Linked DNA regions of Diceros bicornis minor. The protein of the gene in region 1 interacts with the protein of each later gene in a biochemical or structural test. Links are inferred from orthologs where the notes say so. Each region holds a gene or a part of one and is shown in the gene's direction. Other genes may lie near its edges.

Region 1 (10,090 bases):
CAGTGTTCTTGGCAACTTTATAGAACATAACCACTGCAAATAATGAGAGTTTACCATGCACAAATAGTAGGTATGAGAGTGGATGATATTGAATAGTGAAAGCATACACAGTGAGAAACCAAGAGGGCTGAAGACAGAACTCTAGGGAGCACCATCATTTGGAGGGTGGAAAGAAGGCAAAATGTTTAGGGGAAGCTCAAAAGGAATGGTCAGGTAGGTGAGAAGGGAGTGATGAGGAGTACCCTGAGGAAGTTTCAGGAAGGGAACAGTCACCAAAGTCAGGAGGTGCGAAAAAGCTCCCAGGAGACACATAAATGGTATAAAGGAAAAGCATATACTTTTAAGTGTAATGGACCTGAATTTAAAGCTTAGTTCTGTTACCTAACAGCTGGGTGATATGAGGAAATTCACCTTATTTCTCTGGTCCTCAATTACCTCTTCTGTAGAATGAAGACAAATCCTAACCCGGAAGGTTGTAGGTTACATGAAATAACATAAGCAACCATGAAAATAAGCAACTGTAAATACTCTATATTCTGTAAATATTAAAAAACCAAGATTCAAATATTTTAAAGGATGAAATAAGGCTCTTGTGTACTGCAGTGACCTCTGATCTTGGCCTTAGTGATCTTCCAGCATAAGTAAAAGGACACAAGTGTGAGTTTCATTTGAGTTGGGAAGTTGGATACAGTTTATTAGTCCAAGATGGATAGGCCTGCATTTATTCTGCCTCTCCTATCCATATATGATGAAGATCTCTGTTGATATATCTTGTTATTTCTTGACTTTCCTTGAATGGAAAATGGGCTTTGGAGATGATCAAATCTAGGTTTGAGTTATGAATCCCTACTGCCTTCATTCATTCATTCACTCATTCACACACTTATTAAAAGTATATATTATGTTCCAGGTGCTATGTTAAGACACTAGAGATAAAGCCTTGGCCCATGGCATCCATGATCTTACAATCTAATGGGAGGAAAAAATAAGTATAATAAGGTAATAAATTAAGTTTCCAGTTTAAGCACCCCAAGAAATAATACCTTTTATATGTCAAAGCAGGTGTGAGACAGAGTCTCCTGGAGAGTATTTCATATAGAATAAATTCCATGATTCTTGCACCCCCTCAACCACTTTGAGAATATAAAATATCTAGAGAATGGAGGAGGAGTGAGGTATTTGTGATCATATTTCTTGGGAGAAGAAGAGGAAGAGATACTACAGCTTTCATCACAAGCTAAAAGAGAGGGGACTTCAAAGGGACCACGTGAATATCATTGATATTTTTATTCACATTAACAAGATGGGAGTGAAACAACACAAACATATGTAGTAACTCAATGACACAACGTGAGCAACTTCTTTCCTGAATTAGCTAATAATTTTCAAATTCTGGAAGAATATGTCCTTTTTTTCCTTTTTGCTGTTCACAATATAACAGCTACAGACACAGCACACTTTTAAGACTTGACTGCATTGTAAACATTTTCTCCACCACATTCTTAAATCTAGAGTAGACAATGAACAAGATCATAAGTCAAACTCTTATTTGTGTATTTGCCAGTTTCTGAGGTGTAAATACTGCCAGCACGGTGAATTTCAAGCTACCAATGTGTTGTCACTGAATGAGGAGTTGGGAAGCGGTGTACAGTAGGGTGCCATGATATGGTATCTTCACTATATAGATACGATAGAGGTAAATAACCTCAAGAGCATAGATAACAATAAAAATGTTAAATAACTAGTTTTTAAATTTCAATAAAATTTAAATAACTAGGAAATGATTTTTGAGTATTTATTACATTAATTTTTAATATGATTTCATTGTAAGTTTATATAATTTAATTTTTAATAATGGCTGTGTTTAACAACTGCTGCAAAATTCCTGACTATTTAACAATAGGCTCTCACGAGCTGGTATAAGCCACCTCCTGCACACCACTGACATTAAGTACACTGAAAACATAGCCTTCATTGTCCTAGCTGTCACTCTCAAACTACTAAAATATGGATCTTCCTTTCTAGTAGTGACCTTTAGAACAGCAATCTCCTCTTCCCTTAATCCAGCGGATACTTTGCAGTCCTAATCTTACATGATTATCTGTAGGAAATGACACTGTTGGTCTCATCCTTGAAACCATCTTGTTACTAGTTTTTCAGTCTCTTGTCTTCATCCTACCCCTCTGACCATTCCTTACGTCTTCTTTCAATGTTTTCCTTTCTCCATTGAGTCAATGTTGGTGTTTCTGAGTATTCTCCGTCCTCCTGTCTTCTCACATTTCACACGGCCCCTGGGAGCCTCATGTACTCTGCTATCACTTACATTCGGTCAACACCAAATCTGTCAGAACTTGCATAGTCTCCTAATATCTAGACCCACATTTGCAATTGCTCTGTGATGTATTTTCACCCTAGTGTCCCACATAAATTTCAAATTCAAAATGTCCATAACAGACTTGTTTCTTTCTTTTGAAGTTTGCTTCTCCCTTTCAACTCGATAATTTATAGGCAGCACCATTTACCAAATCACTGAACCAAAACCCCAAATTTCATTCTTTATTTCTCCTCCTTTCATATATTCCCTGTGGAAGAATCCAGCACCTATTGGGTCTGACCCTAATATCTCTACCAACTATTGCTTCTCTCTATATTCACTGCCATTGATAAAACTTGAGTCCTAAGAAGCCCTCATTGTTGTAAAAACCTTCTAATTTCCTAACTCTGATTCATCCTACATGCTGAAGCCTCTGTGATCTTTCTAGATCACAAATTGTTTAATGGCTCCCAATTGCCTTAGATCGGTGGTTCCCAGCCGTGGCTGCACAACAGAATTATCTGGGGAGGTTTTTTCCAACCAACTTTATAAATGTGTAATTTACATATAAAGTGCACCTGTTTTAAGTATATAGCTCAGTGTGTTTTTAACAAATGTATATACCTGTGTAACTACCACCACAATCAAGATATAAAACATTTCCATCACTTCAAAAAGTTCCCACACGTCCTTTTTCAGTCAAACTCCCCAAGCTTAACCTTCCCCAAAGAGACAACCCCAAGCAACCACCAGCTTTCTGTCAGTAAGATTAGTTTTGTCTGTTCTAGAATTTCATATAAATTGAATTAGACAATATTTACTCTTTTGCATCTAGCTTCTTTTCCTCAAGATAACATCTTTGAGATTCATCCATGGTGTGTGAATCAGTAATTCCCTCCTTTTTACTGTTGAGTAAGATTCCACTGTATGACCTTTTCAAAATGTTATCCATTCATGTGTTGATGGACATTTGGATTGTTTCAGTTTGGGGCTATTAGGAATAAAACTTCTATGAACATTTGGGTACAAATATTTTTGTAAACATGTTTTCATCTCTCTTGGGTCAGTACGTAGGAGTGGAAATGCTGAGTCTTATGATAACTAAATATTTAACTTTAGAGGAAACTGTTTTCCAAAGTGGCTGTACCATTCTCCATGCCCACCAGCATTGTACGAGATTTCCAGGCAGAAAGCCAGGGCAAACATAGCTCCTCTTGCTTGTTCCCCTTCTCTGGGACATCATAGACCCATGCTGCCTGTTATTCAATGTCTGAAAACAGTTTTTCATATATCTTGTCTAGTTTTTTAATTGTTGGGTGTGGGAAGGAAAGTCCAGTACCAGGTACACTGTCATGACCACAGGCAAAGTCCACTTGGGGAGCATCCTAAAAAGCACAGTCCTTGAGTTCCACCCCATACTAATTAAATCTGAGTCCCCGGGGTGAAGAGGGGAGGGGAGGGGGTTTTAACGTGCAACAACGTTTGAGAATCACTGGCCCAGATGGGAATGTTCAATCTCTTCACTAAGGCAAGATCCTTCAGAATCTGTCGTAAGCCCACATTTCCACTGTAGATCCCCCTCCCCCAGTTAACCATCTTTTGTCACTTCTCCTAAGCTTCAACCGTGTAGTACTCTATCAACATGAACATGATATTTCACATCTGTGCCTTTCCCTGTGGTCCCTTTTGGTCCAAAGTCTACTGGAAGTACTTATCCTTCAAGATTCAGCCAAAACGTCATTGGCTCTAGGGGACACATAGAACAGTCAGGGATTTCCGGGGCAGAATGTTGCAGTAAAAAGAATATTGGGACAACAAATTCAAGATTTAGTATCTGGCACCGCCATTTACAACAAGGTGAATTTAATTGTTATTTATCATCCAGTTTTCTCAGGTAAACACGGTAACAACAATACTTACCTGGCAGAGGGACCGACGAAATTACACATGGAATGCATCTGGCATAGTGTACCTAGGAGACACCAACAGAACACTCCCCTTCACACACCACATGCCACTCATAAGATTTCCTGCAAAGCTCTAACGCAAATTGCATTTTATTATCTGTTTACATCTCTCTATTGCCCACTAGATTGTGAGTTTTAGAATGACCGGGACTACTTCTTTTTACCTTTGCATCCCGGGGGCATAAAAGTGCCTGAGATAAGACAGGAGTTTAAATAAACCTCGGATGAATGAAGAGGGTTTAGTAGTCTCTAGTTCGGATTGCAAAGAGCCTTTAGGGTGTTCTTCGTCATCAAGACCAATTCACGCTTTGGGGGTGAAGTAGCACGCAGTCCTGGGTGGGGAATTGAGAGAATTTGACCAAGACTAGACAAGTAAGGCTGCAATCTTTATCAGATAACACACCTAGAGGACGTTCTCCTCGTCGAGTTAGCAGAAGCTGCAGGTCTGCGCTGCCCTCGCGGGCGGCCTACAGCGCCTTCGGGTGTGCGGCAGACGGAACGCGAGCCTCACGCAGAGGCTTCTCGGCGGGGAAATTCTCTGAGCCCGTTTCCTTTACGGACAAAAGCGGGCCAGGGCAGGTGGGCCGGCGCCGGAAGAGAGGGGCGCGCGGGCACCGCCCCCCGCGGTTGCCAGGCAACCGGCCCCGGAAGTGGCGGGAGGCGCGCGGCTGCGAGATGGCGGAGGGCGGCGGCGCCGAGCCGGCCGAGCGGGAGCGGAGGGGCGGCGGGCCGCGGCCGCCGAGCGCGCGGGACTTGCAGGTGCGGCGAGCGGCCGAGGGCGGGGCGCGGCGGCGGGTGGCAGCGCGACGGGTGCGTGTCGGAGGCGCCCGTGGCCTCGGCTGAGCCCGCCCGGACCTCATCGGGGGCAGAGTTGTGACTCGGGCGGCGCATCGCACGGGGCTGGCGGTGGAAACAAGTGCCCGACCCCGACCCCGACCCCCGCTAGAGCTGCTGCCGCGTTTCCGCTCCACCCCGTTTGCAATTTAAGCAGCAGCTGTTCGTTTAGAACGGCCTGTTGTGGGGTGAGTTGAGTGGTTCGCCGGTTGATGCTTCTTCCTGCAGGACATTTCCTGCAGAAGAGAGCTTTGCTGTGGCTTGGGGACATCAGCCATCGCGTAAAAAGTAATAACGTGTGTGCATGTTTGATCTTGTTTTGGATGCTGTTCCTGTCTTGATTACTTTTATATAAAAATAGTTCCTTTTTATTAGATAGCTTTTCCCTACTAAAGGGGTGAACTAAGGTATTTCATCCTGCGGCTGCACAGCCTAGTTGTAAAAGCTACAGCCTGTAAAACATTGCACACAAGAAACGGGGAAATAAAACTTTATAATGTTATAGAATACTGGCATTTGTTAGCTAATTACAGGTGCACCAAATCTTTCTTGATCAGATGCTTAATAATACTTTGCTCGGTTTAGGCTTTTTTCTGTCTCCTTATATAAGATGATGGATATAATTAAACAAGTAAACATCTATAAGGAGCCATAATTATAAATAAATGACACTAAATCCACAAGCCTTGGTAGAAAAGTTCTATTACGTGATAGTCACACCTTCCTTCTATTTCTTTGAACAAACATACATTGACCACCTGCCATGTAACATACCGCTAAGCTCTGGGAAATGCAGAGATAAATAGGACGTCAAATCCACACTTGGTGTGGACACTGTTGAAAGAGATAGAAGTGTAAAAGACATTTCTACCTATTTTTTTGCAGAAATAAGATATGACTATATTTAACATAACACTTTGAGATCGAGTATGATTGAGTGCCAAAATAAGCAGTGCATAAAATGAGGTATTTGGACAATGGAAAGATCAGTGTTAGGTTAGGAGATGAACACAAAGTGGAATAGTTCCATTGCCCATAAGTCAATTCAGTAGTAGTAAACAGAATCAAGGAATAGGAAGCGGTCATCTCTCTCGTCTTTTCTGTTGTAGACCACCAGCACTAAGAGGCAACATGGGATGTTGGGTGAAAATGGAGTTTCTGGTCACACCAACTTCGGTTTGCATTTTGGTCCTGCCAGTTAGTAGCTGTGTGAATATGGAGAAATGTCTTAACCTCTCTGATCCCAGTGTCTTTATTTGTAAACTGGAAGTGATGGTGGTCGTGTCAAGGATGGAATAAAGTAATGTCTATGAAGTGCCCATGCACAACTCCCATATTATCCTGGCACAGTACTTGCTTGGTAAATATTTGGTTCCTTTTTCCCTTAAAGGAGAAAAATACTGTTAACTTTTGCTGGTTAGTCCATTCTAATGCCATTAAAGTTAAAACTATGTAGCTTAATATCCTTTCTCTAGTTTATATCCATTTCTTCTTTTTATGTGAAAAAAGAGAACAGCTTGGTTAATACTCACCTGATACTTGACAAATTTACAGACTTAACCCAGTGGATTAATATATGATTAGTGGTTAGAGATATTCTGGTAGATGTTGCTAATTGTGAGAATGCATTTCTTTCCACCATCAATGAGAAGATAGATTTTTTTTCATCTTCTGTCTGCTTTCTGGTAGGCAGGTTGGTAGGTAGATAACTGATTTTTTTTTTTATGAGTGTGAGTTGATACATCAAATATACTAAATATTGATAATCTTTCCTTTAGAATTTAATAAGAATGTGAAGAACTTGCAAAGAAACCTGAAAACAACCAAAGTGATGACGTATGAAGGAATAGAGTATGTATCAAAGGTTTAAAAGAATTGGATAATGTTCTTTTCCCCAACTGGTTTCTTGGATATTGATTATTTTTTGGACTATCTTGTTATTGTTTGATCTAGCCAGGCTTATCTTAAGAGTTACCCAGTTAGTGCAGTTTTCCGTGGAGACTTCTTACTTTCAGCTTACGGACAGCTTGCTCTAAGAGTCTTTCACGATATTATAAAGGGTGATGTATTGCTAACTGGAACAAGCAAAAGTACCCTTAAGTACATATATCTTAGCTGCCATGCGGTGTAGGGTTTGTCAGCATCTAGATCAGGAGAGATTTCCTCATTTACTATGAGAGGAAAGATGGATATTTGTCTTACATAAAGCCTCCCAGGACCATGAGCCTCTGAGTTACAAGCTGCAGAAATCTCCCGTGGATATCAACCAAGAGTAGATCTTAGTTCCCATCATCCCCCCAATTGGGAAACATTCAGTGGGAAAGTTTGGGGCGGGATTGTTAGTGACAGTGCTAACCCTAATCCGTTGGATATCCGTATACCCTATGAGTGGTTCTCAATTTTAGTGTGCATCAGAATCACCTGGAAGGCTTGTGAAAGCACACATTGCTGGGCCCCACCCCAGAGTTTCTAATTCATTAGGTCTAGGGTGCGGCTGGAGCATCTGCGTTTTTCAAAGGTTCCTGGGTGATGGTGATATTGCTATACTGTTATTGCATTATACCCTCTGTCAGTTGTCACTCTAAGACTGAGAATTCCAGTACTTTTAATCTCTTGCTATGAACTTGATTTTCTCACTCTCAATTACTTTGCCTTCAGGTTTCTTTTCACATTCTTCACATTTCAAATTCTAGAGAAAAGATTATCAATGCTTACACACTTTTATTCTCTCTGTGTAATTGAAATATCTTCATAATCTAATTGTTTAGCTTGTGGAATACGCTGTCGGGGTAATTCACAATGCTTCATTACTTCACAATGCACATATTTTTATCTCTTTATTTGACTGAGATTTTGTTGTTGTTCTGTTGGTTTTGACCAGTACTTCAATTTATTTTGATCAGTTTAAATAATCATTTCCTCTTCTGGTGTGGTGTCATTTGCTATGACAAATAATACATTTTAAATTTCTTTGTAATATTTACTAGTGAACTTATGCCATATGATGCTACAGGGACATCATGACTCCTGACATTAATTCCCTCTAAATATCATTCATTTTCCTTTAAGTTAATGATGTATCATTAATAACTAGGACCTTTCAGCTAGGTGACTCCTTGCACTGTATGATTTTCTCCATATTCCTATATTTATATTCCTATGTATATATATATTCCTATGTATTCCAGAGTTAATATATATTCCACATTCCATGGAGTCAAAAGGCTTTATTCATTTATTTCACAGAAGAAAATTATAATTTGATTGACAGGGTTTATTCAAATCTTCTTAAAGCAAAAAACAAGCTGTAAAACTATATCAAATATAATCTCAATTTTAAAATCTATAACTGTATTCTGTCTATCTATATCTCTTTATGATTCATATTCTGTTACAGTCTATGTAATTCAGCATGAATTTGTTGGGTGCCTGTTAAGTACTATGTTAGAAACAATTTGGGAAACCTAACATGTAGTAGGGGGAATAAAATACTAAGAAAAGTACACAAGTGATGACAGTATAGTGTTTAATACAAAGGTCGATGATAAGATAGCATATCCTATGAGGATTTAGAAAAGAAATATCATTTAGTTAAGAAAATTAGAAAAGGCTTCGTGAAGGGTGGCTGAAATGGGCCTTTGAAATACAGATAACATTTCCATGGGTGGGAGTAGGACTAGCATAAAATTCATAGAGCTGAAATAATACAAGCAGCCCAGGAGGAAATCCATCAAGGAATACTGTTGTGAAGAGATTTCAGGGAGGTAAAATTTCTGAAAACTGTGGGCTCAAGTAGTCAGTCAGAGTGTCTGTCTGTCTGTCTGTGTCTCCCTCTCTGTCTCTTCTCCCTCATTTGTTTTGTGTTTTTTGTATTTTGGAGGGCACAGGGTGGGAAAAGACCGTACGGCATACATAGATAACACTGCAGGAAGCAAGAAATCTTGGGGAAAATGAAACACTGATGTAATCATTGTTAAACATCTAGTAACGGAGTACTTGCCTTGTACCTCACATATGTTATGTAATCCATAAGATGACCCTCTAAGGTAATTTTTTTATGGACATTTAAAGGGAATTAAGGCTCAGGAAAGTTAAATAATTGTCACACAATAAGAGCCTAAGTTAGGATTTTAATTCAGTTCTTTTAGATTACAAAACACTTTTATAATTAGGATTTCTAGCAAAATTGCCATGTTAGAAATAGGAAATTTAATGTATGTGTATGGGGGGTGGAGTGGGGGTAAAAAACTTAGGAAAAATAAAGCTTTTCATTTTTGTTTTCTTGTGTGTATATTTTAAAAGTTGAGTGATAGAATCTTGAAAGAATTAACTTTGCCCCAATTCTTTATGCTTTTCCTACTGAGGAAAGAAGCCATGGAGGTATTTTTCATATCCCTTGTGTTTCTGGATGGAGCGCTTTATCTGGGTTTTTTGGGGGTTTTTCTGTTTTTTCTTTCCAAAAGATTTCCCAAAGGTTACAGTCATGCCAATTATAATGGAATAGCCTCAAGGGACATTAAGGAAAGTTTTTGGGTTTTTGACATCCAAAGAGTCATAAGTGGGAACAAAATAATACTGAAATATTTGGTTAACTTTTTAAAATTCCAATTTTAAGAACTATGTTTTGTTTATTTTGTTTTGAAGATATCCAGCTTTATATCTATAATGCATAATTTCATAATAATGCTTTCTAAAAGTTATATAAACCATATATATAATTCATTGTCTTATTTTTCAGAAGCTCATTATCTTAAACTTGATGAAATTTATGTCTAGTAGACTTTTTTAAATGGAATAATTTTGAAATTATGTGCTTGGATTTTGAAAACTTGAACAGCTAAATGAAATAATTTTATGAGATCTGATGAGAGCAAGCTGACATTAGTGTGAAACATCCTCAAGTATTTTTGTAAGAATTGTAGGAGAATTGTAGGTCCAACTTTGAAAATGATCTCTTCCCAAATACAGTTTTTGA
Region 2 (9,933 bases), on another chromosome or scaffold:
GGAGTTGCGGGTGTCAGCTCCCTCCGCTTGTTTCCGCAACCGATTCTTACTGCCTGTGCAGACTTCGAAGGGAAAGTTGTGAAGACCTCATTTGTGTTCCACAAACTGGGGACAGCCATGCCTATGTCGATGGAGGAAGGACCTGAGTTCCAGGGACCCGTGGTAAGTTAGTTACATCAAGCATGGCCCCCCAAGGAGCGTTGGGAAAGAAATGGAGGATGATTGCTGAGACCTGTGGAGTTTTGTAGCCAATTCTAAGAGGGAAGAGGGAGCTTTAGAGCAGCAGTGTCTGAGGAGTGTGATAGCCTGATTCCTATGAGAAGTAGGGGGGATACGACTAGGCCTCCCTAATCCACTAGTTGCTTCCCAGGTTGACAGGCGCTGCTCTCGATGTGGTCACGAGGGAATGGCATACCACACCAGACAGATGCGCTCAGCTGATGAAGGGCAGACTGTCTTCTACACCTGTACCAACTGCAAGTGCGTATCCTTTCCCTTCCCTCTGCCCTGTCTCAGTCTGTTTGCTAACTAAACAAATCCAGTGATTTACTTTTTGTACCAAAGAAGCAATTGTTTCCTTTGGTCCCATCCCTCATTTCTGTACAGTTCAGATAGTAGGGAGATTTGTGGTCGTTTTTTATTTTTAAAAATTACACTTTTCTTATCCTTTTTATAGCCAGTGAACTAAACCTTTTAAGATATTTTAAAGGAAATGGAAAAATACAGAAGGCAAGTATTGCTTAGTGGTCAGGATGTTATGCTGGAATCTTCTGCTGCACTCAAGGTAGTTTTATTTTGGTGAGAATTAATCGTGCCTAATTTAAAAAACATGGGCTCTCTTAATGGTTTTGAGAACTCCTCTTGGTCTTTGGTGTTCTGCAGTTTCACTACAATATATCAAGATGTGGCTTTCTTTTATTTATCCTGTTTGGGATTTGTTGGACTTTCTAAAACTCAGGATTGACTTTTTTTTCATCAACCTTGGAAAATTATCAGCCATTATCTCATTGAATATTGCTTTTTCTGGAGCTCTAATTAATTAGTTGTTTAATAAACCTTCTCTTTCACCCTCCATTTCTCTCACCCTGTCTTTCATATTTTTCATCTCTTTTTCTCTTTATGCTGCCTCTGGGTAAATTCTTCAGGTCTCTCTTCCAGGTCACTAACTCTGTCTTCAGTTTATTTCAATTATTGTTACTTTAGAAAAAGTTTTCTTTTGAGTTCTACTTGATTATTTTTTCAAATTTCCTCAGTCATTATAATTCCCAATTCCTTAATCATATTTTAAATTGCTCCTTTTAGTCTTAAAATGTTACTTTTAAATATATTAAACATGATGATTTATACTGTGTCTGATAATTCTGATACCCATCATTTTTGTGAGTCTGATACTGCTGTCTGTTATTTTTGCTGACTCTCTCATGGTGCTTTTTTTCTTTGTTTTGTGATTTTTGACTATAAGCTTGGATTTTTTAGAGTCTGAAGTATGGGAATTCTTTGAGGCCTGGGGTGAATGCTGTATCCTCAGCATCTATGTTTCCTGTTCAGGTGCCTTGAGGCACTACCGAGCCGGAATTACTTTAAATAAATTCTTGGCTTCAGGTTTTTTGGAGCACATAGGTAGTATAAATTCGGGCTGCAAATCCATATAAGGGCCAGCTTATGGTTAGAAATTCTCAGAGAAGATTTTTTCTCCCTCTACCTTGTGAGGTAGTCAGATTCCCCTTCTGCAGAGGTGGATTTTTTTTTTCCTTGTTCACTTTTACACAAAGGAGTAGCCCTTTGGGTGGCCCAAATTTATGCAGAGTATCTCCATTCTAGGTTTCTAGTTCCTCCCTGTGGCTGTCAAAACAGCAAGGGCACTATGGTAGCAAGGACTTGAGTTTAACTTACCTGTCTAGATTCCTGGTTTTACATCATTTTACCCAGTGTGAAGGTTGCCTTTACTTTCTTGCCATCTCTTCAATGGATTAAAAATATTTATAGTTAGATATATCTTTTGAGAGGACTTTTTTCCCAATCTGTCCTTTGTATTTTTTTAACTATTTTTTTTTTTTATTAATGAGAAGTTCTTAAGTTTTGTGAGGTCCAGTTTATCCTTTTTTTTTTCTTTTATGGCTAGTACTTTTTGTGTCCTAAGAAATCTTTGCATATTTCATAATTCATTCGATTTTTTTTTGATGAGGAAGATCAGCCCTGAGCTAACATCCATTGCCAATCTTCCTCTTTTGCCTGAGGAAGATTACCCCTAAGCTAACATCTGTGCCCATCTTCCTCTATTTTGTATATGGGATGCCGCCACAGCATGGCTTGATGAGTGGTGCAAAGGTCTGTGCCCAGGAATCCGAACCTGCAAACTCCGGGCTGCCAAAGCGGAGTGTAGGAACTTAGCTAGGCTACCGGGCTGGCCCCGAATTCCAGCATTTTTAGTGGTCTTAAATTTGGAGGATTGTTTAAGGGAGCTAGTCCTCCACAGTGTCATAAGTGAAAGTCCTTCCTTGATTATTTGTGTGTCTCATCTTAAATTGCTGGAACCTCTTCCTTTGTTCAAATATAACAAGTTCTTTTTTCTTCATAGGTTTCAGGAGAAGGAAGACTCTTGATTTTTTTTTTCTGGACGACTCAACAATCCCTTCCTCTCTTCTTCCTTGGAAGGTGAAGGATATTGGGTTCTCAGATCCTTTGTCCATCCCCTGTTTGCAGTGTTTTGCTCCCAGAGGAGAAGATCATCATATGGGGATTACCATTGTCTCCAGAGTACTCCTACCTTTAGTTGAGTTTCCTTATTAAAGTTATATTTTTATATAAGAGCCAGATATATGTATGTTATTTACTGTGTGTCTTGTTCCAAAAGGAATTTAAATGAGCTCACAGAGATATATTTGTTCTTTCAACAAATATATCAGCTACAAAAAGATAATATAAATTAGTACATGACAAAGAAAAAGGAAAAAAAACAAAGAGAAAAGAATGGAGCCAGGAATGAGGCTAATATAAAAAAGCAATGTTGGGGCCAGCCTGGTGGCATAGTGGTTAAGTTTGTGGGCTCCACTTCTTTTTTTTTTTTATTTATTATTTATTTATTTATTTTCCCCCCAAAGCCCCAGTAGATAGTTGTATGTCATAGCTGCACACATCCTTCTAGTTGCTGTATGTGGGACACGGCCTCAGCATGGCCGGAGAAGCAGTGGGTCGGTGCGCGCCCGGGATCCGAACCCGGGCCGCCAGCAGCGGAGCTTGCGGACTTAACCGCTAAGCCACGGGGCCGGCCCTGTGGGCTCCACTTCTGTCAGCCCAGGGTTTGCAGGTTCAGATCCTGGCACGGACTTATGCACCACTCATCAAGCCATGCTGTGGCAGGCCTCCCACATAAAATGGAGGAAGATGCGCATGGATGTTGGCCCAGGGCCAGTCTTCCTTAGCGAGAAAGAGGAGGATTGGCAACAGTTGTTAGCTCAGGGCTAGTCTTCCTCACGATAAAAAAAAAAAAAACAGCAATGTTAACTTACTATCTAAATCTATTTAGTTCCTGAGTTTAGGGAAACAAAAAGTGGGAGTTTGGATAGTGAGAGATTCAACAGAAAATTTGATGAGATATATTTGATGTGTAAGTTAGGACAACAAAAAATCTGATACTAAGGGATACTAGTATGTACTTGCGACAGGTGGACATTTTGGAAATTGTTTTTTTTATTGCTCTTGAGGTAAATATAATATATATTCATTGTGATAGATTCTTATATAGAAAGGTAGAAAGAAAAAAAAATCACAAGGAATCCACAGAGATATTTGGTTTTCTTTTTTTTAAATAGGCTCTACTATACATGCTCAGTATCTTTTTTTTTTTTAATTTTATTTATTTATTTATTTTTTCCCCAAAGCCCCAGTAGATAGTTGTATGTCATAGCTGCACATCCTTCTAGTTGCTGTATGTGGGACATGGCCTCAGCATAGCTGGAGAAGCAGTGCGTTGGTGCGCACCCGGGATCCCAACCTGGGCCACCAGCAGCGGAGTGCGCACACTTAACCGCTAAGCCATGGGGCGGGCCCCATGCTCAGTATCTTGCTTTTTTCACTTTGAACCAAAAACTTAAAAGGGAAACAAATATATAGTCCAGGCACAATAAACATATTCAAATTTTAGTCTGAGCATCAGTCTTCCTGCATTCCTTGGCTTAAATGGCAATCAATGGGTGACAGTAATACTGATTATCTTGTCATTGTATGGCCCTTTATATATTCAGAGCTCTCAAGCATACCCTATCTTGTTTGACCTCTTCAGCAACTTGGAGGGATGGGCAGGGCAGTCTTCTCCACTGTACTTTTGAACTGTTCTTGTAGTTGACTTTCCCGCCCTACTCCTGAAATCTGAAACAAATCTGTGCATGTTTCTACCCTCCCCTTTCCTGGCCCCTAACACTGACTGGATAAAGGCCAAGTTTCTTAGTAAAGCAGACAGGGCCTCCCATATAACCACCCCTACCTGTCAAGCTTTGTCAGGCACTCCCCTTACATCTCAGCAGGTCAAAACTGCATTTCCATCAGTGCACACAGCTACACTTTGTAAGCTTCTCTCTTTACCAAAAAAAACAAAATAACATTTGCCTTCCACTTCCCTTTTTACCACTCTTTTGCTCCCTGAGAAACATGCACATATTTTTTACCATAGCATAAACTGGCCTATATTGTAATTTATGACCATTTCTGTGCTTAATCTTACCTCCATCCCAGAGAGAATGTTGGCAGTATGTAACTGAAATCAGTTTCACAGATGAGATTTACATCTATGTTAATATCCCAGTGTCTTATAGTTTTGTTGGTCCTAAGCATGCCAGTCTTTCCCACTAGACTGGGAGCTAAAAGGCAGGGTCTGCGTGTTTTATCGCTTTTATCTTCAAGATCTAGCACAGTGACAGGAAAAAATACAAGTTGAAGGTGCATTAAGTGCCCCGCTCAAACACCTGCAGGCCCAGGGCGAGGACTAGAACCCAGATTCTTAAGCAAGTGCGTTTCCAACTGCTCCTAGGTCCTGGTTCTCTGATTCCCAGTCGAAACAATAATAGGGGAAATAACAATAATAGACGAAACGAAAATAGGCCATTGTAGAGTTATTACTATTGCCCCTAAGTTTCCCCCGCTCTCCCACCCACCCAGGGTTAAAGATGGGGAAGAGGATGGGCTCAGCTACCGGACGTCTGAACCAGGTGCGGCACTCGCCCTTCCCCGGCGGCGGGCACCGCGCCACACCCGATCCGCAGCGGCCAACCCAGCTCTCCCCTTCCGGACCGCCCCCTCCTGCCTGCTCTGTGCTGTACGTGCGCGCGCTGCCCTTGACGACCCCCCTCCTCCCACAGCCGCAGTGACGCCTCTTCCGCCAAGTCTGTGTCGCTTTCTTGTGGCGCCTGCGCACTGTCACATTACGGCGGAACTAATCCGGCGACGCCTGCGCTTTAACGCGCTTAGTGCAAAAGGGGGACTACGGAATGCGTCACACCCGGAAGAGGAGAGCCGGAAGTGGGGTTGGACAGGTTATCCCCAGGGGTGGGGAAGCAGAGGCCCAAGAGGAAGGGAGAAAAAGAAGGTGGAGGATCCTGGCTACTACTCTGAATCCGATACCGATTCTTTTAGACCCCAGAAACACAGAAAAAGGAAAGGGTGTCCCTTCCTCTCCTCAGCCTTAGCCATGGCCGAGGCAGGGGCAGGGCTGAGTGAGACCATCACTGAGACAACGGTTACCGTGACAACCGAGCCCGTGAGAAAGGCGGGGGGCGGTGCTTTGTAGGGGTCTGGGAGATACCGAGAGGGAGGGGATAGGGCTTTTGAGAGTAGCTCGACGGGCCTGGCCTGGGCATATGGGAAGAGTGGGGTTGACTATCTGGGGTTGGGAGAATCACAAGATACTGGGGATATTTGGAGTGGCAGAGATGGTGCAGGAGGCTGATCAAGCGATGTGTAATAGTTAGAGTTAGGATGCTGCTGCGTGGGGTGGTGGTGTGTGTAAATAATGAAAGAATGGGAGCTCGGGGATTAAGGGGTAAGGGAGGTGCTGGGGGGAAATGAAGGGCTGTGTAAGAAAGCATGGTTGGAGGCAAGCTGTAGGAGAGTTTGACTGGAAGCGTACTTATCCTTAAATATTTGTTGAAGGGATGAGTGTAAAAGAGAGTGGATGGAATAATGGAACAAGAAAAAGGAGATGAAGATAATATTTTGTGAAATCAGAGATGTAAATAGAGGAAAACCTAGCATTTTTTCAAAAACAGATTAAGTTGCTTTCAAAGGGAGAACGTCGTATTGGGCTTAATAACCCCTGGATTAAAGGATTTTTGAGTAATAGTTACCAGAGATACCAGGATGCTAGGGAGTAGGTGGATAAGAGGTGGGGAGGCCTGGGCTTGAAGATGAGAAAGGTGAGAATGGGGTTCTTTCTTTACTGGTAAGAAGAATAGGGGGTCTGGAAAAAGATCAAAGATTAGGCATTGGGGACTGAGAAAATAATTTTCATGTATTAATACCACCGAGGATGATTTGGGGAGGAAGACGGAGAAACAGCGAGGATTATATTTTCCTTTGAAGATTTGCTGGGACCTTCCCTAGGTTAGGAACTGTGTCTTCTCTGTATACTGGCAGTTATCAAGAACAGGAAATAATACTTCTCTATTCCTCAAGGGGCTGCCTGAGGTCAAAGGCCTGTTAACTATTTTATCTTCTCTTAGCACTCAGCTCCCCTGGGGCTATGTCTGTGATACTGATTGAGCTGGGAAGGGGAAGAGAGAATGCCCCTGGGAGGGAGTGGGAAAGATCAGTAAGGAGCAGACTAGATAGTTATGCCCTTCCCTCGTAACCTTCCAGGAGAACCGGAGCCTAACCATCAAACTTCGGAAACGGAAGCCAGAGAAAAAGGTGGAATGGACAAGTGACACTGTGGACAACGAACACATGGGGCGCCGCTCATCAAAATGTGAGTAATTGTTGTCCCACAGTAACCCTGGAATTCTGGCTCCCCTCTGCCTACCTTCTACCTTCTCACATTCACTGGCCTTCCTGAAGCCCCCAGATGCTCGCAATCCTGTCGCTGCCTTGGTTGTTCCCTGGCATCAGGGAAAGGAGGTTAATGTTAGAGGGAAAGAGATAGGGAGGGGCTTGAATTGTGATGTGCCAAGGCCTGAAGGCAAGAGGTATCAGAGGTGGGAGAAGTAGAGCTTTGGATTCCTGGGTCTCGAAAAGGACAAGGGAGTTGGGTGCCTGAGTCCCAGGGGGTAGGCCTGGGGAAGCTGTATCCTGGAAGGTAGGAGGAGACAATGGTGGAAGTAGGAATCTTTACTGAGATCCAGTGGGAATGGAACAGACTCTACATCTTACTCTTCCTCCTTTTTAACTGGGCTCCTCCCTCCAAATCCAGGCTGCTGTATTTATGAGAAACCTCGGGCCTTTGGCGAGAGCTCCACGGAGAGTGATGAGGAGGAAGAGGAGGGCTGTGGTCATACACACTGTGTACGGGGCCACCGCAAAGGACGGCGTCATGCAACCCCGGGACCGAGCCCCACCACCCCTCCCCAACCTCCTGACCCCTCCCAGCCCCCTCCAGGGCCAATGCAGCACTAAATTCCTCTCTCCCCCACCATTCCTGTGTCTGTTTGGCCCTGAATGTATTCATGTGGCTACCTGGGGTCTAAACTCATGGTTTGATCCCTTCTCCAGCCCCCTCCTCCCCTCTCCTCTGCCTGATAGAGGGAAGAGGGAGCGGTGAGTGGACAGAGAACCTGGAATTCTGACTTGCTGCTATTCCAGAACCCAGGCTTCTGGGTTCCCTTAGCCCTCATTTCTCCTTCCATTACCCATCCTCCTCTCTCCAGGGATCCAGGCATCTTGGTCCCAGTTTCTTCCCTTTGTTCTCACTGCCAAACTGCCTGTCCTGGGATCCAGTTATCTTGGCCCCCTGCACTCTCTCCCTGAGTCCCAAACACTTAAAGTGGGTTTCCATCAGCCCCAGCTTTCACTGCCAGAGTCCCAGTCAGATTCCAGGCAATCTTGCCCCAGCTATGCTTGTTAATCCTGGCTTAGAGCTCTTCAACTATGTATTTATATAGTCCTAACTCTTAGTCCTTGCCTGTGGGATATGAGGTCTGATGGGAGACCTCAGGGCTCCCAGCCCTTCCCCTCCTCCTCACTCCTCTCATGCCCTCAAGAGGAGTTAGGAGAAAGGTCTTTGTCATCCTCACCTTTAAGGGAAAAAGAAATAGTCATGTCCTCTCTCGTCACCCTTCTCATGTGATCTAGGATTTCTGACACAGCTGGCTCACTTAGAGCCAACTGTCTCCTCAGCTTTTGGTCTTCCAGCTTCAGAGACAGTTAAAACAGCGCCAGGGGCCTGGGTCCCTGGGAGAGGAAGGAAAAGGGAGGGAGCAAAGAGCTGGGGGTATGTCCCCTACACCACACTCTTACCCCTTCCTTCCTAGGCTTTGATGTCTCTGCCAGTCCAGATGGCCAGCTCTCTCGGCCCTCCCCACCCCTTACTGGGATCTGGATATTGTCTTCCAGGCCTCTTGCCATGCATCTCTAGTTGCAGAGATCAGTCAAATCCATACCACCGTGGAGATCTCATTTATTGCCACAGATGCACAAAATAAATAATGCAACATCACAAAACGTGTTAAATATGGGCCCATTTATACATATGGGGAAAGATGTGAGGCTATACACAAGGATAAATTTGGGGTGTCTGGGCCATTCCCAGGTTGAGGAAAGGAGAGGTAGCACCATTGGTTTCTTACTTTGAGTATGTGCAGGGGGGAGATTTAAGAAGGTTCTTAATGGGAAAGGCTGTGAGCACAGAAAGCCGTCAAGAGTGGAGTAGAACTGGCCTGCCTCTCTCCCTGCCCTCCAAAAAAGGGGTATTAAGGGGCCGGGCCTGTGGCATAGTGGTTGAGTTTGGTGCTCTCTGCTTTGGTGGCCAGGGTTCTTGGTTCAGATCCCCAGCGCAGACCTGCACCACTCATCAGCCATGCTGTGACAGCAACCCACATGTAGAGGAGGATTGGCACAGATGCTAGCTCAGGGCTCATCTTCAACAAAAAAAGAAGGGGCGGGGGTGGTATTAAGCTCTCTAGAAAGCCCTAAGGCCCAAGCCAGAGTCACGTCTCCTGTTTTTTAGGAGTAGGCTCTTGTTTCTCTTGAGTCAACAGGGTAGGGAAGCCCAAACCTTAGAGTTGTGGAGAAGGCACTGGGCCCTTCTTTGAGACTAGGCGAGGCAGGGGTGGGAAGTAAATATTTGACTAGCAGGGCCTCTGTAGTAAACACTGGCCATTTACCAATACTGATGGGTCAGGGCCTGGTCCCCAATTCAGGCCTGGAATAGAAGGTAGAAGGGGAGGGATCAGTTGGGAAGTACTGGGGTAGACGTGGAGGAGAAAAGGCGCAAGAGGAGGGGGGCAGGAATGGATTTGACTTTGGGTGTGGATGTGGAAACTGGAGGCCAGTTGAAGTCTTACTATTTGGGAGAAAAGAGACAATGTAGGTGGGTGAGGGTGCTTATCAATACACAGCAGTGGGCTTGTGGACGTGATCCCTGGAATGAGTGGGGATTTCCACGGCCAAAAGGAAGCAGCCTCGTTATGGGCCAAACTAGAATGGGGGTTGTGGGCGAGACTCAGCCTTCCGTTGGCACTATGCGGAGCGGGGCACGGGGGTCTCGGGTGCAGAGCAGTGGGAAGATGCGCTCGCCCAGGGGGCCGGGCGCCTGGAAGGCGAAGAGCAGGTCGAGCGAGCGGCCATCGTAGAAGGCCACGCGGCCCCGCTCCCAGTCCAAGTCCACGCGAATGCGCCGTGGCGGGGGCCCGGTGCTGCCCAGTGGGGTGGGCTCAGGCGCTGTGAGTGCCCACAGGCGGCCACCGCGTCCCTCCACGGCCCACACAGCCCCTGCGGGGCACAGCCCTA

Evidence for each region.
Region 2: the proteins of UBXN2B (region 1) and PPP1R11 form a complex in vitro, tested with the Homo sapiens proteins (2 studies listed by BioGRID). The link is inferred for Diceros bicornis minor from reciprocal best matches to the Homo sapiens genes UBXN2B and PPP1R11.

What each region holds. Positions count from the first base shown.
Region 1 is NC_080772.1:11,762,763-11,772,852, forward strand, and holds the start of UBXN2B (UBX domain-containing protein 2B), read left to right. Parts: upstream 1-4,956; coding exon 4,957-5,040; intron 5,041-10,090. UniProt on the Homo sapiens protein: Adapter protein required for Golgi and endoplasmic reticulum biogenesis. Involved in Golgi and endoplasmic reticulum maintenance during interphase and in their reassembly at the end of mitosis.
Region 2 is NC_080753.1:35,899,108-35,909,040, reverse strand, and holds PPP1R11 (E3 ubiquitin-protein ligase PPP1R11), read left to right. Parts: upstream 1-5,587; 5' UTR 5,588-5,683; coding exon 5,684-5,752; intron 5,753-6,849; coding exon 6,850-6,958; intron 6,959-7,399; coding exon 7,400-7,602; 3' UTR 7,603-8,646; downstream 8,647-9,933. Other genes in the region: POLR1H (DNA-directed RNA polymerase I subunit RPA12), read left to right, coding at 62-162, 371-480, 2,579-2,603. UniProt on the Homo sapiens protein: Atypical E3 ubiquitin-protein ligase which ubiquitinates TLR2 at 'Lys-754' leading to its degradation by the proteasome.